Linked DNA regions of Stegostoma tigrinum. The protein of the gene in region 1 binds, or shares a complex with, the protein of each later gene. Links are inferred from orthologs where the notes say so. Each region holds a gene or a part of one and is shown in the gene's direction. Other genes may lie near its edges.

Region 1 (8,154 bases):
CTGGAATACAAACCTTCAGGGTATAGTGGAGGTAGATTCCAGAGAGTGTCCTTTCAAAAGGAAGAACCTGCAGGCTTACAGAGAACAAGAGAAATGCACCAAATGAATGGTTCACTTGCCTGTGCTGCACAATGCTGATTCTGTGACACCCAGCATGAGGCACAAACCCAGTAGTAGTGGACTCTGGGATAGGTTTTTTGGATCTATGGGAGATGTGTGTTGTGCCTATTCGCAATTGGAGAAGCTTGCGGTGAGCTTCCTTCTTGAATCAATGTGACATGCACAAGCCTGTTAGTTCCAGGATTTGCAGCCAGTGAGGCTGAAGGAACAGTGATATATTTCTGCGGTCTGGTTGAGTGGTTTGGAGGGGATCTTACCATATTCCCAATTATCTGCTGCCCTTGATGGTGGTGATTGTGTGGAAGGTCCTGTTGGATGAGTTACTGTGATGTATCTTGTAGATAGCATACACTGCTGCCACTGTGCGTTAGTGGTGAATGGAGTGAACATTGAAGGTGGTAGATTGCCAGTCAAGTGGGACCTGCTTTGTCCTGGATGGTATTGAGCTTTGAGTGTTGTTAAGCTGCACCCATCCATCAAGTGGGGAGCATTCCACCGCACTCCTGCCTTGTGCCTTGCAGATGGTGGACCTGCTTTGGGGAGTCAGGGCATGAGTTACACTTTATAGGTTGCTTAACCTCTTATGCTTTCTGAAAGTCACTAGTTTAAATAGCTAACCTAGTTCAGTTTCTGGTCAAAGGTAACCCTCAGGCTGTTGATAGTAGCATCAGTGATGGTAACATCATTGAATGTCAAGGGGTGATTGTTAGATTACCTTTTTATTGGAGAAGATCTTTCTGTGGCACTATGCCAGGATATTGTCGAGGCCTGTTTCTGAATTTGAAGAGTTGTGACTGCTGCTGGACATTGTGGAAACATCCCCCACTCCTGACCTTCCTTCCGATGGACGGAGGGTCATTGAAGCAGCTGAAGATGGCTGAGCCTATGACACTACCCTGAGGAACTCTGCAGAGATATTCTGGAGCTGAGATGTCTGACCTCTAGCCACAGCCATCTTCCAAGTATGACTTCAACCAGCAAAAAGATTTTCCCCAGTTCCTATTAATTATACTTTTGCTTAGAGCTTCTTGATGTCACATTCAAACAATCAGTGTGGGAGGCAAGCGAGGAAATTGTAGGAGCATTGATGTCAATTTTAAAAGTTTAGATACAGGAGAGGTGCTGGGGATTGGTAAATAACTGCCATGGTAGGGATAGGCCAGTGAGTCTGACATCAGTTGGGAGAAATTTCTGAGGATAGAATTCTATCTCCATTTGGATGGGGAAAGAATTAATCAGGCATATCGTGGCTTTGTCAGAGGGGAAATTGTCAAATTTGATTGATTCAGCTTGTCACCTCTTGAAAAAAATTTCAATGTAGTGCATTGGATATACTCTAAATAGCAGACTGGGCATAAAAGTAAAAGTCCATTGAATCCAGGCCAATTTTAGCAAATTAGATTCAAAATATTGGTTCAGTGACAGGAAACAGAAGATGACGGTAAAAGTCTCTTGTGACTGAAAGCCTGGGTTCCTTGCTGTTCCTCGTCTACTTGTGTGAATCCTAGATTATTCATGTCCTTATCATTGATTGTACGTTTTACCAGTAAGTTTACACTACACTAAAGTTTAATGATGTGGTAAATAGCAAAGAGGAGAGCCTCTGGTTATAGGACAGTAGTCAGATGGGCGGGACAATGGCAAATAGAATTTAATTCTGAAAATTTGAAGGACTTATAAAGTAAAGGAGTATATGATGAATGGTAGGACCCAAGGAATTATGGAATCCGGGGATTCAGCCACAAAACGACATGACCCACTATCACTCGTATCCTTATATACAGATGAGGAAGGACACCACTTTGATTGGGACAACACATCCATCCTAGGACAAGCCAAACAGAGACATGCACGAGAATTCCTAGAAGCATGGCATTCCAACCGGAACTCCATCAACAAACACATTGGCTTGGAGCCAATCTACCACCCTCTGAGAAAAAGAACAGGAAATTACATCACCAACGCAGGAAATGACATCACCAACCCAAGGAAACCTAAACCGATAAATAGAAAGCGGGACATAACACCAGCGCTTCACTGGAGGCTCACTGATGAGGTTACCTAGAATGGTGACAAAACGTCTGAAAACGAACTTTCCAGCTCAGCGAGCAAACTTACATCCAGAATCAGGGGGACCATAAATGATTGGAGGCAACAGGACAAGTGAATAGTGGTTAAAAGGCTTTTGGGATACTTGCCTTTTATTTTTCAAGGCATAGGGTATAAAAATGAGGAAGTTAAGATGGAGCTATATACAACTGTAGGCCATAGCTGGAATAGTGTGTGCAGTTCTGGCTTGATCGTAATGGTTGAATGGGTGATACGAGTGCTAGGAGGTTGCAGATTGTGCTAGAGTACAATGCTGCTGCTGATGGCCTCCATGGATGACCAGTCTTGAGTTGTTAGATCTGTTGAAGTCATTTAGTCTGGTTATAGTGCCATACAACATGATAGAGAGTGAGGGTGGGACTTCATGCCCACAAGAACTGTGCAGTGGTCACTCTTACTGATGCTGTCATGGGCCAGTGCATCTGCAACCAGCAGCTTGGTCAGGATGAGGTCAAGTCTGTTAGTCTGTTTTTCTTTTTTGATTCCCTCACCACCTGCTGCAGGCCCAGTCTAGCAGCTATGTCCTATAGGACCTGACCAGCCCGATCAGGCTTACTGCTGCTGAGCCACTGTTCATGGTGGGCATTGAAATCCCCCACCCAGAGTACATTTTGGGCACTTGCCATACTCAGTGTTTCCTCTAGGTGTTAACCACCAACATGGAGGAGTACTGATTCATTAGCTTAGGGAGAATGATACATGGTAATCGGCAGGAGGTTTCCTTGCCCATGTTTAACCTGATGCCCTGAGACTTCGGTCTGTCCAGAGTCCATGCTGAGCACTTCCAGGGTGACTCCCTTTCAACTATATACCACTGCTTCCCCCTCTCCTGGCAGGACAGGACATATCCAAGGGACAAGACTCTGTTGGGTTCATAAGGAAGCGTTTTACTTTGTTTCTAGTGCCTTGGTTGGTGGAGGCTGGTCTTTCCAGTTATATTCCTTTATTTAGATACACAACAGCGTCTTCCCAGGCCCTTTCAGAGGACAGGTAGGAGTCAGCCACTTTGCTGTGGGTCTGGAGTTGTGTGGGCAAGACCACTTAAGATCCTTCTCTAAAGGACATTCATCAACCAGGTGGGTTTTTACATCAATCAACAATGGTTGCATGGTCACCATTAGGCCAGCTTTTATTTCAAATTTTATTGAATTCATATTTCACCATTCACCCTGGTGGGATTTGAACCCCTGTTCCCCAGTTTAATGGATTAATCCAGTAAATCAGCTGCCACACCACAGCTTCTCATTGGCATATGGATTATACTCAGTGTGTGTCACTCACTCACTCACTCACTCACTCCTTTCAATGAGATCCTGGTTGGTTTGGCCCATGTTATTTAATTCTTAACTAACTTTTTTGTTAAGCATAAGATTTAAAAGTAACAACTGATCCAGCAGCAAGTGACATTTGTGAAAGTGAGTTCCAAACCCCTCCTACCCTTTGTGTGTAGAAGTACTTCCTAATGTCTCTTCTTAATGGTCTATGCCCCTACTTCTCAAATCTTAGTCAATAGAAATAGTTTATCTTTACCTACCCTGTCTTTTTCTGTTAACATAGTGAAGACTTTGATCAGGCCTTACATGGTATAGTCTGTCATCATAATACAACTCCTGAAGTCCAAGATAACAAAGTGTGAAGCTGGATGAACACAGCAGGCCAAGCAGCATCTCAGGAGCAGTCCAGATATCATTCTTTTAACAGTGACTTCCCAGGATGGGACACTGTACAGGAATCAGAAGCATGTGTTCCTACTTCAGACCGGCTGTAATACTCCTTGCGTGGCCCAGCCTTACCTGCTACAGAGTTGAATTCACACCCAGGTTTAATCTCAGTGAACATTCTACTGGGGTGTTATGGGATTGTAACAGATTTAGTACGGCCAACAGCAGCTCAGGGAATTAAACATAAACTTTGCTTTTTTAAAATTACACCAATTTGATTTTTTTAAAAAAATCTGACATGGTTGCTCAGAGTTGTGTGCTGATTCCTAGTATCACAAAGTAGATAACCATTCAGCCCACTCATATAAGAGGTTTTGCTAACCTGAGTGAGATGACCAGAAGTAGATTTCTGATGTTGCCACCACAATGTCAGCGGTTTCCTGATAAATGGGAATCCGGGGTGACCAGAACAAATCCGTTCATCCACATCACCTCCTGACAGTCCCTTTCCTGAATTCATGAGGCAGCTTCACTCCCTCTGCTTGGGGGCGGTTACAGGAGATAATGTCCCCGCTCAGATCCATCACCAAATGAATATTAATGTGAGAAAGTTTTGCCTTAAAGGGTTTCTGTGGACGTTCTCCCCCGGGACAGTCAGGCTCAGGAAGGCTGGAGTGAGACCTGGAGCATTCTGAGGGATTACTTCATCAAACATCTTCCACATCCGCTTTAAACTGGGAATGGTTTGGTGTTTGTTGGAAGAATCATGAAACACGACAGCACTGGGCATTCAGCCCGCCCAGTGTGGGCTAGCTCTGAGGCAGAGTTACCCCCATCTTCCTAATTTCTTGTTTTTGGTTCATATCTTCATTTAATTTTGTTCCTGAAGCCGCTTTGGAAGTTATTAAATCTGTTAAATTGTTTTTTCTAACCATCTTCAACTGTTTCATCAAACACCTCCCCCTGCAATGCAATATTTACAGCATCGGCCTGCGTTTGGTTCTGAAGCCGGTGGAGGGAAGGGCTAAGCCCGGCTCCTGGTGCACACCCCCAGCATTGAGGGCGCGCGGTCTCGGCCCGGAACCTTCGGGCAGCGTCCAAAGCGGCTGCCCCGGACCTTCTCTGGGAGGCACCGTGGTCTGATTGGTTACGGGCTGGCACAGTCCCAGGGATGGGTTTCACGGACGGACCGGAAACGGGGTGCCGCTGGGGGCGCGGAGCCGGAACCGAGAGGAAGCGCGGAGCCCGGGCTGGAGCCGCGGGTGAGTGGGGTTGGGGGGGGGGGACATGGTGGGGGAATGAGGGGCAGCTTGATATGACGATCAACGATCTCCCCCCCATCCTCCGCCCCCCATCCCCCGCCCCCCATCCTCCGCCCCCCCATCGATCCCCCCCATCCTCCTCCCCCCTCCCTCCATCCCCCCATCCCCTATCCCCACCCACCCCCCCCACCCATCCTCCCCCTCCCCTTCACCTTTCTCCATCTCTCCCCCCACCCTCCCATCTACACCCCTCCATCTCCGATCCCCCCATCTCCTCCCCCCACACCCCACACCCCCTCCCCCCACACCCCCACCCTCGCATCTCCTCCCCCCCCCCACACCCCCACCCTCGCATCTCCTCCCCCCCCCCACACCCCCACCCTCGCATCTCCTCCCCCCCCCCACACCCCCACCCTCGCATCTCCTCCCCCCCCCACACCCCCACCCTCGCATCTCCTGCCCCCCCACACCCCCCACCCTCGCATCTCCCACTGCCCACCCATCTCCTCCCCTTCATGTCAGGGTCCTTCTTACTCATTTGATTCATGTTATTTAAGAAACTGCTGGATTAAATTTCCTTCGCGGGATAATGAGAAAGTTATATTTGTTGGATTGCAGTGAAAAATTTGTTTGCATCATCACAAGCACTAAATCTCCATTGAGTGCAAAGGAACATAATGTATTTCTGTTTGTATTAAAAGGTAGTAGTTGGCAATATTTTGAACTATGCATCAGAAAATTATTAGCTGTCAGAAATATACAGTCTTAGTATTTACCAAGTCTTTTATCAGTGTCTATTCTGATTGTTCATCAAGGAGAATAAATTTTAAGCCCAACAGTCCACACCAGTCAGCTTCTCAGTAAGTGTAATATATTTTGAAATGAAGATATTTGAAATGTATCAACTATGACTAAATAACCAAGTTTGGAGATCTGTTTCTGAGGTGCGTTTGTTAAGATCTGACCATTTCACCCAATGGGTGGGCCAATTTTTGTTGGTGGAGTCTCATCTGGATGAATTTCATTTTAAGTTATGAAAAAAGCTTGTGGTACATATGAATGTATGTGAATTTGCTGTAATTTGCTATGATTTGATTTCCCTGTTTTTTTTGTGCTTGTTGTTAGTGGAGTCCACCTGGTGTCCAGTGATGAATCTCCTGGAGACTTTGCCTGTGTCTGACACTGTGCCTTCAATTTGGTTTCAAATATGATTTTTGAGAATGTTTTTTCAGAAATGTTTCTTGTTTGACAGATGAAGTTAATTTTTTATACAATTTGATGGCTTCCATGCAAATCATTGATGATCTATCTATTTATTAAATTTCACAGTGGCCTGTTTGATCTCCCAGTTATGATGTGGGTGAATGATGCTGTGCTGGGATTTGAACTCTGGATCCCAGAAAGTTATCCGGGTCTCTAGATTAACAGTACAGTGATAATACCATTGGGCCATCACATTCCCTTGTGGCCTCGATTCTACTTTACACAAACCTTAACATCCTGATCAAACAAAAATCAAACTCAACCTTGAATAGATTGAATCAGCCAGGCTCCACTCTTTGTGGATGAGAGAATTCAAAAATGTAATGACCCAGTATAACATAACTGGAAAATGCCTTACTTTGAAACTCTGTTCCCACATTTTCCCCCGTAGACTCCCTACTGTGTGGAAGCAGGCCATTCGACCTATCGACTTCACCAACATGCCAAACAACATCCCTCTCAGTCCCACCGCCACCAATACCTTTGTAACCCTGCATTTTCCCATTGGCTAATCCACCTAACCTACATATCTTTTGACTCTGGGAGGAAAATGGAGCACCTGGAGAAAACTCACCCAGACACAGGGAGAACATGCAAACTCCACACAGGCTGTTGGCTGAGGGTGGTGTTAAACCCAAGTCCCTGGTGCTGTGAGGCCACAGTGCTCACCACTGTGCCACTCTCAAGAGGAAATATTGTCTCAGTATTTACCCTGTGAGGCTGCCTCTCTTACGTTGCATCTGGTTAGCATATTTGAAGTCAAGCCTTGCTATTCCTGGAATTGTCATAAATGTTACAGACTTTGAAAGTAAGCAGAATTATCCGATCTACATGACTAATTGACTCAGGTCTGCAGAAAGCACAGGACCAGGTTCCTGTGCTTAACAAGAATTACTTTATTTGGGTTGGATTGAAGTGTTTTTCCCAGGGACGGGGAATTGAAAACTAGAGGGTATAGGTTTAAGGTGAGAGGGAAAAGAGTTAGGAAGGTCCTGAGGGGCAACCTCTTCTCGCAGAGAGTGGTGCGAATATGGAAGACAACATTTGGATAGGTACTTGGATGGGAAGGGTTTAGCGGGATAGGGACCAAATGTGGGCAATTGGGACTGAGTGGGCACCATGGACCAGTTTGGGCAGAAGGGGCTGTTTCCATGCTGTATTACTCCACTACTCTACTCTACTCCATAAGTAATTACTTTGCTTTATTACTTTATTAGGGGATGCAAAGGCATATGGTATTACTGCTAGAGTATTAATCAAGAAACTTGGCAATGATCTGTGAACCAAGGTTTGTATCCTGTCATGGTAGATGGTGGAATTTGAATTGAATTAAAAATCTGGAATTAAGGGTCTAATGATGACCATTAATCCATTCTCGATTGTCAGGAAAAACCCTCTGGTTTGCTAATGCCCTTCGGGAATGGAATGTGCTGTCCTTACCTGGTCTGGCCTACACGTGACTCCAGACCCACAGCAATGTGGTTGACTCTTAACTGCCCTCTGGGCAATTAGGGATGGGCAGTAAATGCTGGCGAGTGATGTCCACATCCTGTGAGTGAATAAAAAACAATTACAAATTAACAGACTGTAGGTGCAGGTAAACAGTTGTGAGCAGTCAGCATGTGACTCTTCTAGTTAAAACTTTAACCCCTTTATAAACTCCCCCTTAGACCCACCTGGGAAAAAACATGGGTTTTAAGGATGCAGGGAAACAGGGAAAGGAATCTGGAGAAGAATGA
Region 2 (8,198 bases), on another chromosome or scaffold:
CAGCCTCTGGTTAGTCTCACCGACGTAGAGGAGGCCACATCAGGAACAGCGGATACAATAGACCACATTAGTGGACGTGCCGGTGAATATCTGTCTGATGTGGAAGGGTTTTTTGGGGCCTGTGATGGAAGTGAGGGAGGAGATTTAGGGGCATATAGGGTATCCTCACTTAAAGTCAGAGTTGCATTCCTGAACATCATGACTTTAAGTGAAATAAAGAAGCACTGAAACATTGGAGACAGGAGCAGGGGATCTATCCCTTCGAGCCTGTTCGATCATTCATCACAACCACGGCTAATCACCCGACACAATAGTCTGATCCTGCTTTCTCCCTATAACCTTTGATCCCAATCACCCCAAAATACTATATCTGGTCACCTCTAGAATACATTCAACATTGTGGCATCAACTATTTCATGTGGTAATGAATTCAACAGGCTCACCACTCTTTGGGTGAAGAAATGTCTCCTCGTCTCCGTCTTAAATGGCCTACCCAAAAACCAGCATTATGTAAAGTGCGGTTTCCCATAGGAATCAACATTGAAGCCAAAGTTCGGTCTCTGAGGACAATTCTTGCCTAGAAAAGCCAATGTAAAAGATGAAATACTGTAGCATAGCACATGCAGCACAATGTCTTCCTGGCTGAAATATCTTGCAAAGCAAAACAAGGAAAGCTTCAGTGAAGAAAGCAGCATTCATGCTTGCACAGAAGGATTTTTACTGCGTGAAAATATCAACTCATTTCTTGTGATACAAGTTGTCTTTTGTCTCCTGTCAGCACCATTGAAACATGCACGGTTTCCACTGTCAAGAGGGTGGCCCCACAAGATATCTACTTGACCTTCGAGAAAGTAGTCATGGTTTCCCTCAGAGGATGCACTAGCTAGGCTGCCTACTGCATCCTCTCCCAACCCAGATTCTAACACATCAGCGGGTATTTTAGCTGGATTAAAGTCAGCAGGACATGTTGGTAAGCACAGTACTACCACATCTCCACAGTTGACCAAGGAAGAACTACTCTAAAGTTGCTGGTACTTTGATGACTACCGGAGAACAGGCACCTGCTCAGGTTCTGGTAGGAGGGGACCCAACAGGGTCAACAAATCACAACTTCACCGAAATGCACAAATAGACACAGAAGCAGCCAGCAGGTTTGTTGAAGGCACGAGACAAACTAACTCAAAGGTTGGAGGATTCCACCAAGGCTGTTTGTACTGTGCTTTCTTTGGCACAGAAGTGTCTGTCTGCCTCTATGGACAATTGTCATGGAGACCCAAGTCTAGCATACAGACCACCAGCTAGATTTATGCACAGGCCTATACTCCATCAATCTAACCAGTACCAACAGCAATGCCACAGAGGAACAAGGGACCTTACGGTAAGTCCAAGTGCCCCTTTCTCACAAGTGAGAGGCCCCAACTAGTACAAATCTAGCCAGAGGAGGAGCTACATATAGGCTCCCCAGAAGTCTACTCTAAAATGACCCTAGAGCTGGCTGCACCTTCTATATCAACACTGACTACCATCCTCACCCCTACGGGAGTTCAAACCGAGGAAGGTGCACCAACTTCTGTGCTGAACACATCTAGAATGTCTGTGCCCTCTCGCCACAAATGTCACCAGGCTTGTCTAACCAGGAGTCCCCCTATGTTTTCTGCCATGAAATATTCCCTCGGATGTTGTCCAAGATAGAGGACCAGAAGAATATGTGGCGATCTAGAGTTGCCAGGCAACAACTCTGACTTTCATGTCAGGAAAACTCACCATCTAGTTTCTATCCGGTCGGTGGGAAACTGGACATCACTGACATGAGATTAGGAAAGAACAAAATGTTAATACGCGCAGAGAGACCCTCAGGTTAAAAGTCTGATATGGTACCAAATGCTATCAATACTTAGATTGCATATACAATTGAACTAATCAGCCTGCATATTTGCAAAGTTCCTGAAATCTATATCTTCTTTCCTGTCCGGATGCTCCTCTGAAGTGATATTCCACTGGCTACAGCATAGCTGCTGCAAAATGCTGAGTTTCAGTGCAGGAAGCTGCAGATGGCCTTGGAGGAAAAACTTGAGCAGCCACGGGCCAAGGAAGATTCAATTTCAGAATTCACAACTGAATATTTGTTTCCAAATTAAAGGCCACCATTCTCAGCGCAAAACCAGAAATAATTGAGCTGTTGCTGAAAATTTATCCCTGCTTTTGTCACCTCTACAGTCACCCATTCCGATTCTGTCTGGTAACCTACTCTTTTTGCACGCTTCAAAAGCTTGACCTTGTTTAAAACTCTGCTGCTTCAGAAGAGGCCTTATTTCCAATGCACTTACTACCCTTCTACTCTCTACTATATATTGATGATCAACACTTCAAATTAAAAATTTCTCATCCCTGTATTCAAATCCCTTCACAGTCACAATCTTTCTGATTTATGTGCTGCAATGCCAATCACTACCAGCTTATGCTACGGTTAGATTTCTGCCACTATTCTCTTTCCTTGATCAGGTTACCATGGTTCAGTTTACGGTGTTAGAGGTAAACTGCTGATGAGACTTAATGAGGTGAGATTCTTGCCATGAACAATACATAGCTTTTCACATGAATGTTATGATTGCAGTGGATTGTACTGTTCAACAAATCAGATCATAGAATGAAACCTGGCTTAATAGACTTCTTAACATCTTAATTAATTTGCTGGTCATTCACTGACACACAAGTACACAGGGTTTAATAGGAGAAGTTCATTGCACAAAAGCCAAAGCCAAAGCCAAAATCAAGGTCAAAAGAAAACAAACCAAGCTATCTTGATACAGGACACAGTTTTAAAAATTCTTAAAACTTCCATCAAGATTCAGTCCGCTGCCCATTCAGATCTGCGTCCAAATTAGCATTTCTCTAATTCTGGCCTCTTACATATCCACAAATCTTCACAACCAGGCATCAAGACCCAAAGCTATGAGAAACCTTCTCTCACTTCTACAATTTTGTTTCATCCAGATTTTCCATAATATATACAGCTGAAGATGGGTAACTGTACATTCTTTGCAATAACAGTCAACGCTGGAGACCCCCCCCCCCAACAAGTATGTGTCCTGAGCCCCCTATTGTACTCCATGTACACTGATGGCTATGATGCCAAATTCCAAACAAATGTCATCTGCAAATTCATGGACGACACCACTGTAGCAGGACGGATATCTAACAACCATGAGTCAAAGTACAGAAGGGAGATAGAGGCTTAGCGACATGGTGAAATGAGACCAACCTATTTTTCAGTGTTAGCAAAACTAAAGAACTGAATATTGGCTTCAGAAAGAAAGGAGGAGACACACCCCCATCTACAACAACAGAATTGAAGTTGAAAGAGTGGTGAGCATCAAGTTCCTCGAAGTAACGATAACTGACAACCTGTCCTGGACTTCCCACATAGGTGACTCTTCTTCCTCAGGCATCTCAGGAAATTTGGCATGCCCATAAGGACGCTCACCAACTTCCGCAGATGAAAAATTGAAAGCATACTGTCTGGGTGCATAACGGCCTGGTACGGCAACAGCTCTGCCTCGGATGACAAGAAACTACAGAAGATTGTGTGCACAGTCCAAAACATCATGGAAGCCAACCTTCCATCCATCAACTCCATGGTTGCTGCGGAAAGGCAGCCAACATCAGCAAAGACCTATTGCACTTCTGCAATGATCTCCTACAACCTCTTCTGTCAGGCAGAAGATACTGAAGCCTGAACACACGCACCATCAGGTTCAGGAACAGCTTTTGCCTGACCGTTATTAGACTGATAAATGGACTCTCTTGTCTCAAATAAGGTTGATCTTGCTAAACATCGATTTCGCCTAGCACATGACCTGTGCAATGTAACCCATATAGATCAAAGTAAATCCTTCTTTACTATGATCTGCCTGTACTGCTTGTAAACAAAATTTTTCACTGTACTTCAGTAGACAGTCAGCTTTTTGACCAAGTTTTTGTCCTGATATTTCTGATTTTTTTTCAATTCTTGTGCAATATAACACTTCAGGACATTTTCCTATCCCACAGACTGTATACAAAATACATGTTGTCATGGTGAATGTAGTTACTTTTTACTCAGAATTGGCTGCAAAATGCAAGGTTCATGATCTTGTCTAATTTCAAATTACGGCTCTCTTTGATTAATTTCGTGAAAGGTTACACGAAACTGAAATCAAAACTACTGACACTTTTCATCACAGGTCACAGCATATGTTGACATGATAAAATATGAAATGAGAGTACACATAAACCACCTTCGTCCATGTCTACAAAATCAAATAACTTAAGGGCAACTCCAAGTTAAGGTCAAGAACAGGACAAATAAGTGCAAATAACAACTCGCAAGTTTGTAGGATTTGGAAGCTGCTCGAGATTCAAGGCACCCTCGTAACTTACACTACTGCTCCCAAGAAGCCGCATCCTCACGTTACTGCCTAACGCAGTCTTGACACAGGACATGCGCAGTAAATGGGGGTCGTTGTGCGGGAGGTAGGCTGCGCATGCGGACTTGTCAATGAATGGATTGTGGGGGAGGGGGAGGGTTTGTAAAGTTAGGGTGAGAGGCAGAAGGGCGGGAGGGAGAAAGGGAGTGGAAGCGGATTGGCCGAGCGCTGCCCGGATCGCGATCACGCGACGGGGAGTCGGGGGCTGACGTCAAGAGATGACCGCGAGCCTCAGCCCCTCACCCTTCCGACGGGCACGCGTGCGCATTTCGCGCAGGCGCAGCGATAGAGTAACAAAAAACCCCAACGGCCGGTTGCGCAGGCGCGTTGGCTACTTGCTTGGAAAGACCCGGCGCGTGCGCAGTCGTATGCCCCTTTCTTCTCTTTTCCTCCCCTTCCTCTCCCATCCCCCCATCAACCAGCAGGCACTTGCGCAGTACGTGTGTGGTGTGTGTGTGTGTGTGTGTGGAAAGTTTGCGCCAACTTGGAGGCAGAGAGAGAAAAAATGTAAAGCGAGCAGCCTGGCCTCCGAGTGTTTGTGTATGTGCTGGCGGCCTTCAGACAGCACCGAGAACCGGGTGACAGATCGCCTCCGGCAGCCGTGGCCTTCTCCTCCCTCCCCACAGTCCGTCCGGCTTCAGGATTTATCCGCTTCATGGTGGTGCCTCTGGGGGGGTCTCTTCGCACGGATGGAAAGCAAGTGGTTCGACACGAATATTATTGTCGCCCAGGGAAGGCTTCGTGTCGGTTAGGCCCTGGTCGAGGCCTGGCTGCGTTGTTGCTGCTGCTGTCGTCGCTGGAGCCCGTTGAATCGCGAGCCGGGATTTCTTGTGGATTTATAAATATTACTATTATTATTATTATTCTGATTGTTTTTTCTCGGACACTGGTCCCGATCTGTGCCTTCGTTTTGGCCAAGAAAGTGGGAAGCTAAGCCAGGGTTTGAGGGGGGTGAATACCCCCCCCCGACCCTTTTCCACCCCCCAAAAACCCATTTTCGTCTCTTTCCCCCCCCTTACGGATTTTTTGTGGGTGTTGGTGACAGCTCAAGGGGGGGGGGGAAACTTGTCTGCTGCTGCCTCGCCACCTTTTTTTTAAAAAAGGAAAAGAAAAGCGGCCGTGTTGAATGTGGGATAAAATGGAGACCAAGACGATTGTCTACGACTTGGATACCTCCGGAGGGCTGATGGAGGTGAGGCTTTTTCTTTGCTCCTCTCAGCTGCTGATCGCGCCCAAACAAATCCACAGCCAGGATTAGGATTAAAAACAGCAAAATTCATTTCTTTTTGCTTATTTAAAAAAACCTCAATACAAATGGCATCTATCTTTCTCAACCGTCTTTTTTGTTAAATAAACAAACGTTTTGGGTCTAGTCTTTTTTCGGCCTGCATGGTGAAAATGGTTTAATCTTACGACCCCCCCGCCAACCCTTCTCCCTTCTCTTCCTGTTTTTATTCTCTTCGCTGCAGAAAATCCAAGCGTTGTTGGCCCCTCCGAAGAGCGAGGAGAGCGACAAGAAGGCCAAGAAGCTGGAGAAGGAGCCGAGGCGGAGCGGCCGGGCCACCAACCACGACACTTGCGATAGCTGCAAGGAGGGGGGAGACCTACTCTGCTGCGACCATTGCCCGGCCGCCTTCCACCTCCAGTGCTGGTCAGTACTTGATGCAAGCGTCGATCTTTCCTCCAGCCCCTCTTACAGAGGGGGACACCTAACTCGGGGATCTGTGATACTGGGGATGGGGGTTTCTTGATAGAGAGCGGCCTGCTTCATCCAGCTCTATACCTTGTTATCTTTGGTTTAAACCTTCTTGGGTTTTTGTGTGTTTTTTTTTGTCTGCTGTCTTTCCCAGGCTGGTGTGTGGTTTTAGGTGTAGTTTCCTAGGTTTGGCCTCAAGGTGTGTGGACCTCGGTTGTGTTTTAGTGGCTGCTTTCTGTACTGCAGTTGTTGCGGCTAAACGATTTCCTTGTCCTGCTCTCTTCTCTCCCCCTGCCCCCGCTCCACGTTTGAGAGGTCTAAGCGAATCCTGCAGCTGGACCTGAACTTTAGAAAGGTGAAGGAAGCTATACACGCTTAAACAAGTGGTTGTCCCGTTAATTGGAGGAGGTTCTGCTGTCACCACATTCGGATCTTCATTGCCAATGCACCCCTCTTCTGACTTTGCAGTTAGGGTCTCATTAAAGTATATGGTAGCAAGATGGGTAGGATAGGGGCACAGTGACTAAACACACCTATCCGCTTCTCATCATCATGGCCTTGTTTGTCCTCAGGGATAGTTTCCTACAAATAGGCCTGGTCCCTGAGCACCCATCTGGGCACCGAGCCGGATGCCTTCCTTTCCTTCACTTAATGTGTTTGCAAATACGCAACATGGCGACCTCCGTTTAAATTATATTTTCTACTCGGAGCGCCATTTTAGTTGACTTCTCGGTTCTGGAGGTTAGTGTCCGATTTAAACTGAGTTCGAAAGGCTCTTGGAAATTTTGTAAAGAAGTGGAGGAGTTCTGATAAATCTCTGGTACACTTTTTCGCTTATTGTTTTATCATTTTCAAGATTCTCTTTTTAAAAAAAACTCACGAAAGTCATGTTATCCCTGTGATTTAAGATTATACAAAGGCATTACATGAAAGTTATTCCATTCAGTCTTGTAATGTCAGTTTATCTCTAATTTTTTTGGCGCTTATCGAGGATTTAAACTTTTCACTTTAAATATGAGAATGCTTGAATGGTCAGTGTAAATATCTCACTGACCGAATAAAACGCACTAGATTTTAATATTTATCTATATCAAGCAGTAAAAAGTACTACTTTACAAGACACTGGCACTTGACAACTTAAATTTAGGTCAGACAATATCTTTCTAAGTTAGATCACTTTGATATCTGAATAATCTATTAAATTTCCATTGACATCTTGCTTTATAAACTGGTTTGTTAGATTTCTAGAGTTCTTCCAGGAGAAAAATGTAGTTGTTAATGCCTTTATGTCTGCTGTACTTTAACTCCATCTTGTCATCAGTATTGTGGTTATATGATTGTCCAGTGCTGTTATTCCCCATAGTCTTTGGAGCACTTTGCTATGTTGAGTTTTGGAATTCTTGTGTTGCATTATTATGCTGTTAAGGTCGTTGAGAATGATTGTGTCCAAATGTATAGCCTATTCAGATTCTAAAGTTTTGGAACTTTAACACTTATTTTGATGTTTTAAACACTTAATTAACCTAATTAAATGTTTTGAATTATTCCTTTTAATTCTTGGGGCAATTTTAATTGAAGGTCAAACTTTATTGTAAATGAAGAGGACTTGCATTAATTTTATGCCTTTCATGACAATTTAGCTTTATAGCCAATAGACCAGTAGTAGAGTAAGAAATACAGTGGTAATTGTAACAAGTCAAGCTTTACAAACAGATGTGAGAATAACCAGGAAATGTTTCAGGTGTCAGTTGAAGGCTAAATATTGCCAAGACTCTGGGGTAATTTCCCTGCTCTTCAAAATGTGATGAGATTGTTTACATCCACCCAAGAATGCAACTTTAATGTTGTACCTGAGTAGTAACATCTCAACAATTCAGAACTCCTTCAGTGTGGAATGGCAGCATAAACCTTAATTTTGTGCTCAGGTCTCTGAGTTGAGCTTTTTATCTATTTTGATTTTTGCGTGGCTAGTAAGCAAGTAGAGCAGTGTTCTTGACTTGAATGGTGTGGTCCTGGAAATGGCTGTATTTAACTTT

Evidence for each region.
Region 2: the proteins of sin3b (region 1) and phf12b are in contact, whole or in part, in a cryo-EM structure (PDB 8BPA), measured with the Homo sapiens proteins. The link is inferred for Stegostoma tigrinum from reciprocal best matches to the Homo sapiens genes SIN3B and PHF12. Residues at the interface, in NP_056075.1 of Homo sapiens: Glu307, Phe311, Leu318, Glu322, Val323, Tyr324, Glu325, Asn326, Leu328, Arg329, Cys330, Ile331, Leu333, Phe334, Asn335, Glu343, Leu347, Pro350, Phe351, Lys354, Phe365, Lys395, Arg396, Glu490, Glu493, Leu494, Val497, Tyr545, Arg546, Ile547; in NP_001028733.1 of Homo sapiens: Leu20, Met21, Gln23, Ile24, Gln25, Leu27, Leu28, Pro30, Pro31, Lys32, Thr33, Asn264, Leu266, Val267, Leu269, Val271, Val273, Phe275, Thr276, Asn278, Arg279, Ser280, Arg282, Cys292, Pro293, Leu294, Pro316, Asn317, His318, Ile319.

What each region holds. Positions count from the first base shown.
Region 1 is NC_081383.1:940,830-948,983, reverse strand, and holds the start of sin3b (paired amphipathic helix protein Sin3b), read left to right. Parts: upstream 1-5,054; 5' UTR 5,055-5,152; intron 5,153-8,154.
Region 2 is NC_081380.1:28,533,792-28,541,989, reverse strand, and holds the start of phf12b (PHD finger protein 12), read left to right. Parts: upstream 1-4,859; 5' UTR 4,860-5,592; coding exon 5,593-5,658; intron 5,659-5,935; coding exon 5,936-6,117; intron 6,118-8,198.